Linked DNA regions of Coturnix japonica. The protein of the gene in region 3 purifies or fractionates together with the protein of the main gene of each other region. This does not show direct contact. Links are inferred from orthologs where the notes say so. Each region holds a gene or a part of one and is shown on either strand. Other genes may lie near its edges. The genes, in order: ITSN1, ITSN2 and EPS15L1.

What was found.
Region 1: the proteins of EPS15L1 (region 3) and ITSN1 purify together in Homo sapiens (affinity purification with mass spectrometry; 4 studies listed by BioGRID and IntAct, with this or other methods). This does not show direct contact. The link is inferred for Coturnix japonica from reciprocal best matches to the Homo sapiens genes EPS15L1 and ITSN1.
Region 2: the proteins of EPS15L1 (region 3) and ITSN2 purify together in Homo sapiens (affinity purification with mass spectrometry; 5 studies listed by BioGRID and IntAct, with this or other methods). This does not show direct contact. The link is inferred for Coturnix japonica from reciprocal best matches to the Homo sapiens genes EPS15L1 and ITSN2.

The regions. Positions count from the first base shown.
Region 1 is NC_029516.1:94,963,491-94,967,140, reverse strand, and holds part of ITSN1 (intersectin-1), read right to left. Parts: intron 3,182-3,650; coding exon 3,099-3,181; intron 2,999-3,098; coding exon 2,915-2,998; intron 2,503-2,914; coding exon 2,329-2,502; intron 1,471-2,328; coding exon 1,322-1,470; 3' UTR 1-1,321. UniProt on the Homo sapiens protein: Adapter protein that provides a link between the endocytic membrane traffic and the actin assembly machinery. Acts as a guanine nucleotide exchange factor (GEF) for CDC42, and thereby stimulates actin nucleation mediated by WASL and the ARP2/3 complex.
Region 2 is NC_029518.1:95,164,471-95,168,120, forward strand, and holds part of ITSN2 (intersectin-2), read right to left. Parts: intron 3,092-3,650; coding exon 2,916-3,091; intron 2,604-2,915; coding exon 2,456-2,603; intron 2,153-2,455; coding exon 1,950-2,152; intron 1,347-1,949; coding exon 1,285-1,346; intron 507-1,284; coding exon 340-506; intron 17-339; coding exon 1-16.
Region 3 is NC_029543.1:3,396,868-3,400,517, reverse strand, and holds part of EPS15L1 (epidermal growth factor receptor substrate 15-like 1), read right to left. Parts: intron 2,403-3,650; coding exon 2,361-2,402; intron 2,180-2,360; coding exon 2,090-2,179; intron 1,732-2,089; coding exon 1,684-1,731; intron 1,028-1,683; coding exon 932-1,027; intron 544-931; coding exon 481-543; intron 1-480.

The DNA.
Region 1 (3,650 bases), on a different chromosome or scaffold from region 3:
ATACCAGTGTATGCATGATAGGTAATGAACAAAATGATTCCAGGCAGAACAAAGATGAATTTTACTCTTAGGGCTCTGTCACATCCAGTCCTAGCAAAGCACTTAGTTGTGTACGTAAGGGAAACACTACCTATGTGTGCACTTAGAGACAGACGCTTTGCCGAACGTGGGAAGTTTGCTGGACATTGGCCTGTATGTGTGCTATGTGTTGAGTTAAACACACATAAAACCTTTTGCGTTCCCCAAGATGAAATGACATCACCCTGGGTTTACCCACTCCATCACACGATCACAAACACTCCGTTCTGCTCACGTCTACCATCTTTGCCACCAACTTTGTGACCAGCCCAGTTTGCAACAAACACTGCTGTGAGTGACAGCGCTACAGCCCTGAATTCAGCAACATGATGTCGAACGCAGTCAGGAACAGTCCAGTTTAATAACTGGTCACCACCGATTGCTTTGCAAACTAGTCTATGGGGCAGAAATGAGCTTCCTGAGCTAGAGCCATCATTTTTTTTCCTTCCTCACTGCAGGTGACGGAACATCCACCTGCACTCACACAACTGAGCGGCAGTAGTAAAACAGTATTGAAGTGGTACAGCACAACATTCAGCAGGGCTCTATCGTTCCGTCCTTCACTCACTGTTCAAAGTCTTCTTCCAAAGGTACTGAGTGGGTGGATTCTTCTGGAGTGCAACTCATCTCTGCGCACAAGGCCTGCACGGAATTTATTTTGGGGGCAATGTGAGTCATGAAGTGGTATGTTAATAGAATCTTCTCTGTTTATAGATATAGACTATTTCTTTTCTAAATATTTTCAGTATCGCCATGAAGATCTCCAGAGATCTTCTTACTGCATAACTGTTTGTTCCATTCACAAAACATTTACACGCCACTTTGCTGAGCAATAGGCACAGAATTCCTTATGGGGGAAAACCCTGCAGACAGCCACCAAACATACCAACACTGCCTTCTTCATGTCAATTAACGAGTAGAGTAACTGGAGCAAGCACGGGGACCTGTGCGGTGTGCCAGCAGCACAACAAACAACCAGGTTACTTCATAAACCCAGGAAACCATCATCAGGTTCCACATGGAGAAACTGAGGGAGACTTCCTCACTAAACTGGGACTCGTTTTTCAGTGAGAATTATCAAGGCACAAAGATGCTCCTGTTTGCTTTGATAACCCTCTTGTGTGTGAAGGGCAAGCAGTAGTTTCATACCAAACCGATCAGGGTTTTGTGACAGCTTCTGCAGATACCTACATTGCAGTGAACTCAGACCAAAACAAAAAAAAAAACATTGGTCCCTTTCCTTCTAAGGCTCATCAAACAATTGCAGGTCTAGTCGGACGACTATCTCTCCTGTTGGGACTTCGTGGAGAAGGAGACACTTTGTAACTGGTCCCTTTGAACCCTGATCCTTCTTAATGTCTGCCACACGGATCTCTGTTCTGCCCAGAAAGTCTGAAATGCAAAAAGACGGCATGCTTAGAAATGAAACAACTCTTTTCTGCTGCAATAAAACGCTAAATTGTAGAAGGAGCTAAGCTTCCATCTACACACGACAAAAGGAGAAAACAAGCCCTCAGTCCAATCACATTTTTGCATTTGAAGGACAAACGCTGCCTGTCTGCACAGAAGAGATTTTCATCTGGACCAGTGGCAGCATTCAAAAATGATGCCAAAGGCAGAAAAAATGCACCATGTACTTCACAGCTGCTTTGCTTAAGTAACTTATTTATTCTATGATATGTTAGAAAAAAGGCCAAAGGCCACTGCCCAGCTTGAACTGAACGAGTAGCTCTCAGGAGATGACAGAGCAAGGGATAGATTACAACAGCGACAAGGTCATTGGGGCAAATGGTGCTGGCCACATGAATGACAGTCCTGCCCAAATCCTTCCTGAGGGAAAGTTACTCCAAAAGACATTCCTCAGTTCTCCGTATGTCTACTGCAAGTTATGAAATTAAAGTGGGTTGGGAATTCTGAGTTCATTTCTACTACTGCCTGTTACAGGAACCTGACAACTTTTCTTTTCCTCCTCCATTAATTTGTCCATTTGCAAAAAGCATCCAGAGTTACATGTAAAGACTTGGCAGAATTACAAACTGCACTTCACTTACTGTCAAACTGCACAAGAAAGGAAGCCCAAAAACCCAGAGAGAGTGCAATTCTTTTAGCTCCAACACAAGCATGACTACACTGGGGAGTGAGAGTGTGTCAAACACGCACAGGGGTTCAGTATTTACCTCAGTGGGAGTGCACCTCTTCAAAATGGGAGGCCTGAAAACACCCTTGGAAAGGTGGCTGCCCCCTGCTTACCATCTGGGGAGAACTGGTCCCTCTCAAACACCGTGATGCAGAGCACGTCCTGCTCAAGGTCTTTGATAAAGAACTGGCAGTTGGAGTTCCACTTCGGATTGAGGGTGTCCTGCATTGTCTTGGTGATGTGGCACTGAGAGCCCATCGTCACCTCACAGTATGGATTACTCTTTCCTGGGAAGTAGGAAACAAACAGAAAAATGTAATCATGTTTTCAAGTGCGTGTCTGAATACCATCTTCTTCTTGCAGCCAACAGACCAGGTGAAGACAGTGGCCTTGCTGTCATTTTAATAACCAGGGGCACAGTTCTGCAAGGTGCCAAGCACTTGCCACTCTTCATTAAGGATTTTGTGGCTGATGATCTCTTTTGAAATAGTTTATGTAGTAAAGCTGTTTGTATGAGCCAAATGATAAAGCGCAAGACAACTGCATGACTGCTACTGAACAGCACAGAATCACCTTTGTGCATTTTAAATTCATTAAAACAGCTTTTTTAAACAAAAATATGTTGACAGAATGTCTAAGTTAGTCACATAGGAATGTCTCCTTCATAGAGCACACTTATGAAAATCAGAAGGCACTTACCATGGGATCTGCAAGGTTTTAGTTCAATGCCTTCAACAATATTCACCATCAACCTCCCAATGCCTGTTGCTCTTTGTGAGCGAACTGTGGTGAAACAGAAGAGGAGAGACAGAAGTCCTTAATGTCTTTTCCAGCCCAGGGACTTCCCCATGAACGATGAGAACCCCAGTACCCCATGACATACCTAAGTAGGCCTTTTCCCTCTTCTTCTTTTCAGTCTCTATGTAAAGTTCCGAAGCAGCTTTAATTTTCTGAACCCACGCAGTCCTTCAGAAGGAAAGGAGAAAAAGGTTGCAAAATACCATTTCTGTTCTTACTCCCTACTGTACTGCAGGCAACAGTAAAGCTGGCCCTCCTTCCCAACCCCTTGCAGCCTAAGGCCCCCACCCTGCCTCAGGCTCTGCTACGCTGAAGCTGTCTGCTTGGAAGAGATCTTGCTGGAATTCATAGCACCCGTAGAAATGTAATCAGTACAGCCTAGCAGATCCCATCACATAACAGAAGCTCAAAAGAACTATGAACAGGCAGGGAGCAAAGATGTTTTATGCATTGGGATTTTTCCAGGTAACACATTCTCAAGCTGGCATAATACTATCTATACAATGTGTTTGGGGTTGGTTTGTTTGGGATTTTTTGCTGTTTTTTCAGCTTCTGATTTTTAACAAAAGTTATTTTTCAACAACTTAGAAGTCTGCAGACCAATATTTTCAACATAACTCAGTGCAATCCTGTCTTT
Region 2 (3,650 bases), on a different chromosome or scaffold from region 3:
CAGCATTACTAGAACCCTGTAACAAAGACACAACAATATTCTTTGCATGTTTAATAAAACCAGCAGAGTTTATTCAGGCTGTTTATAAGCACGTGGCATGTACATACATTGCAACTCTGAGCCCTAATTTAACAGAACACCAAGATCCAGCTGTGAGACCAACAGTGGGACACCGTGGTTACAGCACTGATCTGGAAGTCAAGTCCCCTAGGATTCTCTTTCCTGTCAAGCAATTTTATCTCTGCTTAAAATCAGCGTTTAACAGACAGGTATCAATAACAGAAATATACCAAAACAGAGAAAAAGCATCGTTATGCAAGACTCAAAGTAAGAACTCACTTCTTGATCCTTTGGTCTGACATAATTGGAGGGGAAGATCCCAGTTCTGTCATCGATGCTCCCTGTCCACCATTCCCCTTCTTTCTGGGTCACCAGGATTTCCTCGCCTTCAGTGAAAGTCAAGTCTCCAGGCTCAGAGCTTGAATATGAATACAGCGCAACGTACTCTGCACAAACAGTACATATAAAGGTGGAGAGAACATCTTCAGATGGGAAGATTAAAGTCCATCAGACACAAGAATCTTGGATGTCTGCACCCCTCATGGTGTCTGTAGTGTGGATCATGTCATAGAATCGTGGAATGGCCTGGGCTGAAAAGTTCCACAGTGACCACCTGGGTTCAACCCCCTGCTGTGTGCAGGGTTGCCAATCAGAAGCCCAGGCTGCCCAGAGCCACATCCAGCCTGGCCTTGAATGCCTGCAGGGATGGGGCATCCACAGCCTCCTTGGGCAACCTGTTCCAGTGCATCACCACCCTCTGGGTATAAAACTTCCTCCTAAGATCCAACCTAAACCTGCCCTGAATGTCCTAGCAAGCCTGTGAAACAACCCACCTTACAGCCTGCCATCACAGCTTGTCTCATGCTCACACCTCTGAGTTAAGGATGCACAACGTTCTACAGATACGAATTTGGCAGTGAGTTACCACACTTGGAACACACTGCAGATAAGCAGAAGCCTGAAGAACTTACACCCAATTGTACAAAGCAAAAAAAAAACCAACAAACAAAAAAACCCAAGCAAAGAAAATCAAACCCAACCAAACACCACCAACGCGCCTACGCTCAACCTGAATTAGTTACAAATATTACCTAAGTTCTCATTCTCAGATTCTCCTAACTATAGCTCAGCACTTGCACAGTATTTTCTGGTCAAGCACTAAAGGAATTGTTCAGACACGTCTCACATATTTCAGCTCCATCACGCACTGTTATGCTCTCTTACCCTCTCCTGCTGGGTAGGGCTGTGCACCGGACTTCTTCACTGCTGCATAAACAGCTTCTGGTCTGGAGACATGAAAAAGGACATTTGAATAATCAAAATGCTGACCAACGCATCCCTTTATTAGGATGAGCCTAAGCTCGCTCCAGTGTCTCCAAGTTGCTATTTCTTCATTATAAAAGCTCCCTCCCCTTTCAACAAGTGACATATCACTGGTTTTAAGAGCTGAGCAGCAGCCAAGAGCACACCACACCACACCACACTTCAAAAACAATGTCAGACTATATGACTGGAAGGTATTATTCACACCCATAAAGATTTCTGCCCAATCTTCTCGTTCTGAACTATTTCTAACAACTTTCATCACAACACGATGAGAACAATTCACACACAGCAGCGCAGCCACTCAAGCATTGATAAGACTTAAGTAACCACCCTAAGGAATAATCAGCCATCGCTGACTTCTCACAGGACTCACCTTGGAAGCCTGTTCATTTACACAGCCGTGAGCCCAACATTAATTGGCTTCCAAGAATGAAGTAATAAAAGCCTAAAACTGTACGGTGTAAATCAAAGAGCATCCAGGATCTTCACTGCAATCCTTTGGCACTCCGGAACACCTCTCTTTGATAACTACCAAATACAATAGCAGTCAAAGTTACACTTACTCCTCTTTCTTCTCACTTCCAGGTAAGAGCTTGACGTAAGACTTGGGAAACCAACCCCTTCCTCCATGCACCTCCCCAAACCACCAGTTTTCCTGCTGCTCCAGGACAGAAATGATATCGTTTTTGGAGAAGTTCAAGTGGTTATCTTTTTTTGCAGTCCAAGAGCAAAGTGCTTGTGCTTTCAAGTTCTCAACGGGCTGCCCCTGGTAAGACAGAAGCAGAGGTGTGTTAGCAGTCCCCTTCACTGGTGTGAGTGTTAAACATTCACTGACACTTCACTTATTGCAGTCTAAGCGAGTTCATTCCTAACTGCTGGATGCTTTTTTGTCATCTAGACAATGTTTTACAGAAGTGACTAAGAAACAATCTCCACTGTTTCCTATCTGTTACAAATATAAAGTGTTTAATTACAGATGAAAACTATCATGACTCAGAAATGCACTGCACGTGTCCTCTCGGTCCACAGTCCACTGGTGGATGGAGTCACATCAGAACACACAACGTACCTGTCCATGAATGGGTGACACAGACCCAGGGGACACAGTGCGGGTAAAAGCTGACTTCTGTTGCCACGCTGCATTAACGTTCAGGCTGGAGAAATGCACGTTCTCGGCATAATGTGACTCTTCTGCACAATTTGCTTGTGAAAGCGGTCTGCAAATCGAAGACAGACATAATAAAGACACAGCACTTTTTATTCTAAAAGCACTTCACACAGAATCACTACTTTTTAGAACACAGATACAAAACAAGGAATACTACAGTTGTGGATGCCCCATCCCTGCAGGCATTCAAGGCCAGGCTGGATGTGGCTCTGGGCAGCCTGGTCTGCTGGTTGGTGACCTGCACACAGCAGGAGGTTGAAACCAGATGAGCAGTGTGGTCCTTTTCAACCCAGGCCATACCATACAGCATGTTACCTTAACTTTGAACAAGCAATCTGAACACAAATACAACAGAACTCACTCTGAAGCAGCTGAGGTAGTAGACAAAGATACTGTAGGAGGAAGTAAGGCCTTCTTAGGAGATAAAGCTTTTTCTCCTTCTGGCATTCTTTCCACATAATTGCATGGAAACCAACCAATACGCCCATGGAAGCTCCCATAAAGCCAGCCAGGCTCTCCAACATTTTTTTCATCAACCTACAGACAGGAGGATAAACACAAAGAAAACACAATTTGCTGTGTGGAACAACAGGATATCTATCACATGTCAGCATCTGTTGGTAGAGCAAACAGCACAGGCAGCACTCGCAGGGTCAGCATTTGCAATTCTCTCTCCTTCCAGAATTGAGCGGATTACACACTGGTGGTGACACAGTTGTATTGTGCCTCCTGCAGCTCCTCCCCAGGTAACAAACCAACTCAGTGACTTGTGGAGGCCAGCAGAGACAGCCTTGGGTTGTGTGCTCCTCAAATAGGACACAAATCATGTGACACTGAGGGACAGATAACACCAGAAGCAATTCTGGCTTGCCCAAATTACAATGACTTGTGTTGCATTTCATTGACTGCATGGCCAAGAAGCAGAGGCTGGGTAGAGCAGCACGTGAAAACTAACACAGTTTTAAGAGCTGTGCTGCTCTTAAATGAGGAAGCCCAAATCTCTCTCAGTAATCTTAGTTTTTATTAAAAGACAAAACGTGCTGAGCCTCCAATTAACTTTGTTCACAACTCATCCAAAAATGTTATTTACTGTAAC
Region 3 (3,650 bases):
AGAAGTCATTTTGGAAAACGTCTGCAACTGCAAACTAAACATAAATATTCCAATGCCATGTATCAGAAGCTACTTTATTCCAATCACATATACTGTGTATTATCACTAAATACTACGTGAATTCAAGCTTTAAATTAATTCTTCAAGATGAATTTGTTGAAATGCTTCACTGTTCTCAGTGGGGTTCCTTATACAAGCATCAAAGTGCCTACTATTAGGATTCTGGAAGAAATCCAGGCAGAAGATTAAAATTCACTATGTCTGAAAAACATCACACCCGGGATTGCTACAGGCTTGTTTAATACTTAATTCAACTGTAAGATCAGAGTTCAGTATTCTTTACTCTGCACAAGTCTGCCATCAGCAAGGAAGGACTTTTGAAACGGGAAATATAGTTGATACAGAATTCTCTCACTGGGAATTCTTGAGACAAGGAAAACATTTAAAGAATGAATGGAATGTGTTGTCTTTTACACTTACCCTAACAGCCCAGTGAGGCTCTGTTGAAGGCGGGGTGATCAGCAAGGGACTGCTAGTGTCATGCTAAAATGAAATTTTACTTTTATTTATACAGATGCGTACACACACAAAGGGGCAAAGCTGTAGTCATGCCCATTACTATCCACAGTTGCTGACACAGTTCAAAAATCATCTCCCCCCTCCCCCATAATCGTAGGTTTTAGCCACATCAGCTTAAAAGCACTGACCAAACTGACTGCAGTTAAACCTGCTCTGACTCTGCAGCCCAGGATGAGGCTGGAACACTTTACAAAGGAATACAGGACAGTGGCAGATGTGACTGTGAAAGTTTGACAGCAACCTGAAGTCTCAAAACCACAACGTTTATAAAACAGATTATTTATAAAACTATTTCAGCTGAAGCTTTCCTTCTCATGCAATACATGCAAATGTTCAGGTATGTATTACTTACAAATTTAGGAGGTGGCACAGTCAAATTCAGGCTGCCCATGTTGACCTCATGGCCGTTCTGTGCGCATGCGACGAGGCGCAGTGCAACATAGAAACCCTACAAACAATAGTGCTGTCTATTAAACTAAGCACCCAGTTTAACTCACCCTCTCCAATCATCCATTCAGGGTTTTTACCAACAGTGTACACAGGACCCCAAGTAAAGTACGGAAACAACATATGTACAGCCCCATGCTGTAACTGCACTGCAGCAACGCCTCACTGCTTTCAGATAGGATTCAGAAAAGACTTTGCAGTGATATGGAACAAGGAGTAAAAAACTTCAAAGCTAGTTTTTAAGGGCTGTCTCATACAAACCAACGACGCTCCATATATACATGTAACTAAAGCATGTGTTATTCCAAGTCACTCATAAAACGCCAGTTATCTTTTTCAGTGCAAGAAAGATCTCTAAAATAGACTCTAAAATTACAGTCTGTATTTATTATTCTCAATGGCTGTGTCTATGTATCCCACACACACTGATTATCTAGAAAACAAAAGGAGCAGAAAACAAGAACTAACTTCTCCAGCAGCCCCACTGAGTAATAATCTTGAATATGAGCAGCACCAAAAAAAATCATCTTATAAATGAAAATTTAGAGGTGGAAAAAAAAACAACTATGGGTAACTACTATGGATATCAGGGTTTTCTGGAATCTAGGCTCCACTGTGGAAGGTAATGCAAGAGGTTCACAGGTACATTTTATTTACCTGTTTATCCAAGTACCCTTTACCTTCTGGATCAGCCAAATCCCATATCTGTGGAGATAGAAAATAAAAGCCATTGAAACTTCAAAATAAAATTTAACTCAGCTCAACAATTAATACTATACGTCTTTTCAAATTGTTCATTGCAGATGCCAAGTTATGAAATACAGTTCTATTTAATTCTCAACAACAAAAATGTTACACTAAGGACAAGTTTTCCTTGCAGATCCTTACAAAGCCCAGAACAGGACCCTGAAACTCTCAACAGCCTGTGGTTAACCTGCAAGTCAAAGGATCCAATTCAGCTCCATCTCACCCGCTTTCACTAACCCCTTCTGCTCGCTCTTAGCTGCAGTGAAACAAATACACAGATAATCACTGCAAAAATTGCCTCATTCCTCCAACTTACCTTTCCAAGGATAATATCAGACAGACCAGACTTCTTAAGAAACAGTGCAGCTTCACTTGCCCCAACTCTCCCCGTATACGTTGGATCTACCTAAAAGACAGAAGTTTGCATTCAACTGAAGGATGCCATGAAAGTAGAGACAAGAAAAGAAATGTCTTATTCATGCTTCTGTAACAACTCATATGGTTACCACTCAGTGGGAAAAATTTATAGTAGTTTAGCATGGGAAAGAGGGGAAGGAAATTCTGCTTCAATCTCGTTAAAAACTTACCTGTTTGTAATAAGTTTCATACAATGGAATCCCAGCAGAAAACTGAAAAACAAGAGGGATGATAAGAAAACAATGAACTGCAATCTAAGATAGCCTACATTTAGTGACCACAAGAAAAATAAAAAGCACATACTACCTTGTGCAGTATTTTTAATTTAAAAAATATTTATTTTTTAAAAAAAAAAAAAAAAAAAAGAACACTAGAGTTTATTAAGAAATGCCATAATTCCCTGGCAAAGCTGTTTGAAGATTTCAGCTTGATGTTACCAACTGCATTACACAAAAGCTTCAAACACAAAGGGTCTGTATTCTTGGCATACTAAACAGACAGGCTCCTCTTGCTGAGGTCACAAGGAAACAAGAACTGAAATGCCTAAAGAGGAGAAGCCCCAAACACATATCCTCATTTGCCTCCTCCAACAGACACAAGTCCTAGCTCTGCAACAGCTACACTCCACACTGCTCTCCAGCATTGCTATCAACAGCAAAAATAATACAATCCAACCATTGTGTCAAACAAGTCACCCCTTATGGCAGACAAAGGCCTTAAAAGACAAACAACAAAACAAGCCAATAAAAAAGTTAATGACTGAGATGCAGAGATGTTGAAACACCCCAAAGTGCGCTCAGGACAATCACTCTCCACCTGCAGGACATTACTCAGACACCCAACAAAGGATTCCTTCATTCACTGTCACCTCCCAACCTCCACCTTCCTCCTGGTCACCCAAGCAGACTTATGGATGTTCTGCCCACACCATCAAGAAGGGAGAGAGAAATAGGACCAAAGAAAATGAAGACTGATGAGGAGGAGAAGACTTCATATTACACAGAGAATCTTCCTATACGTTTAAAATAAACAGGGCAAATCTTAATTGAAGGAGCCATCCAACATAATTAACCCTTATTCATTAAAAGTGAGCGCTGAGCTCTTTGAGTGCTGATTATTCTTCCAGGCTAGCAAAATTTTCAAAGCTTTCTTAAACATCTTAAATGTTCTCCTCTTAAACCCATCGGCAAAATAAGCCACTGCACTCTGCACACCATCAGATGTCCCTGCTCTTCCAGAAGCAGGACAAGAGTTTCTGTGGAAAGCTGTGACCGTAACCCATAAGCCTGACTCATCCTTTTGCTAGCTAAATGAACATGGATAAGCATTGTGTCCCTGTCCAGAGCAGGAAACACATCATTCAAAGATGAGGAAATAGGAAACAGTCTGTTCAACTCTGAATAAAACATGGTACGCTTTAGCTAACTACACCCAACTGGACACACCTCCTACTTCTCAGA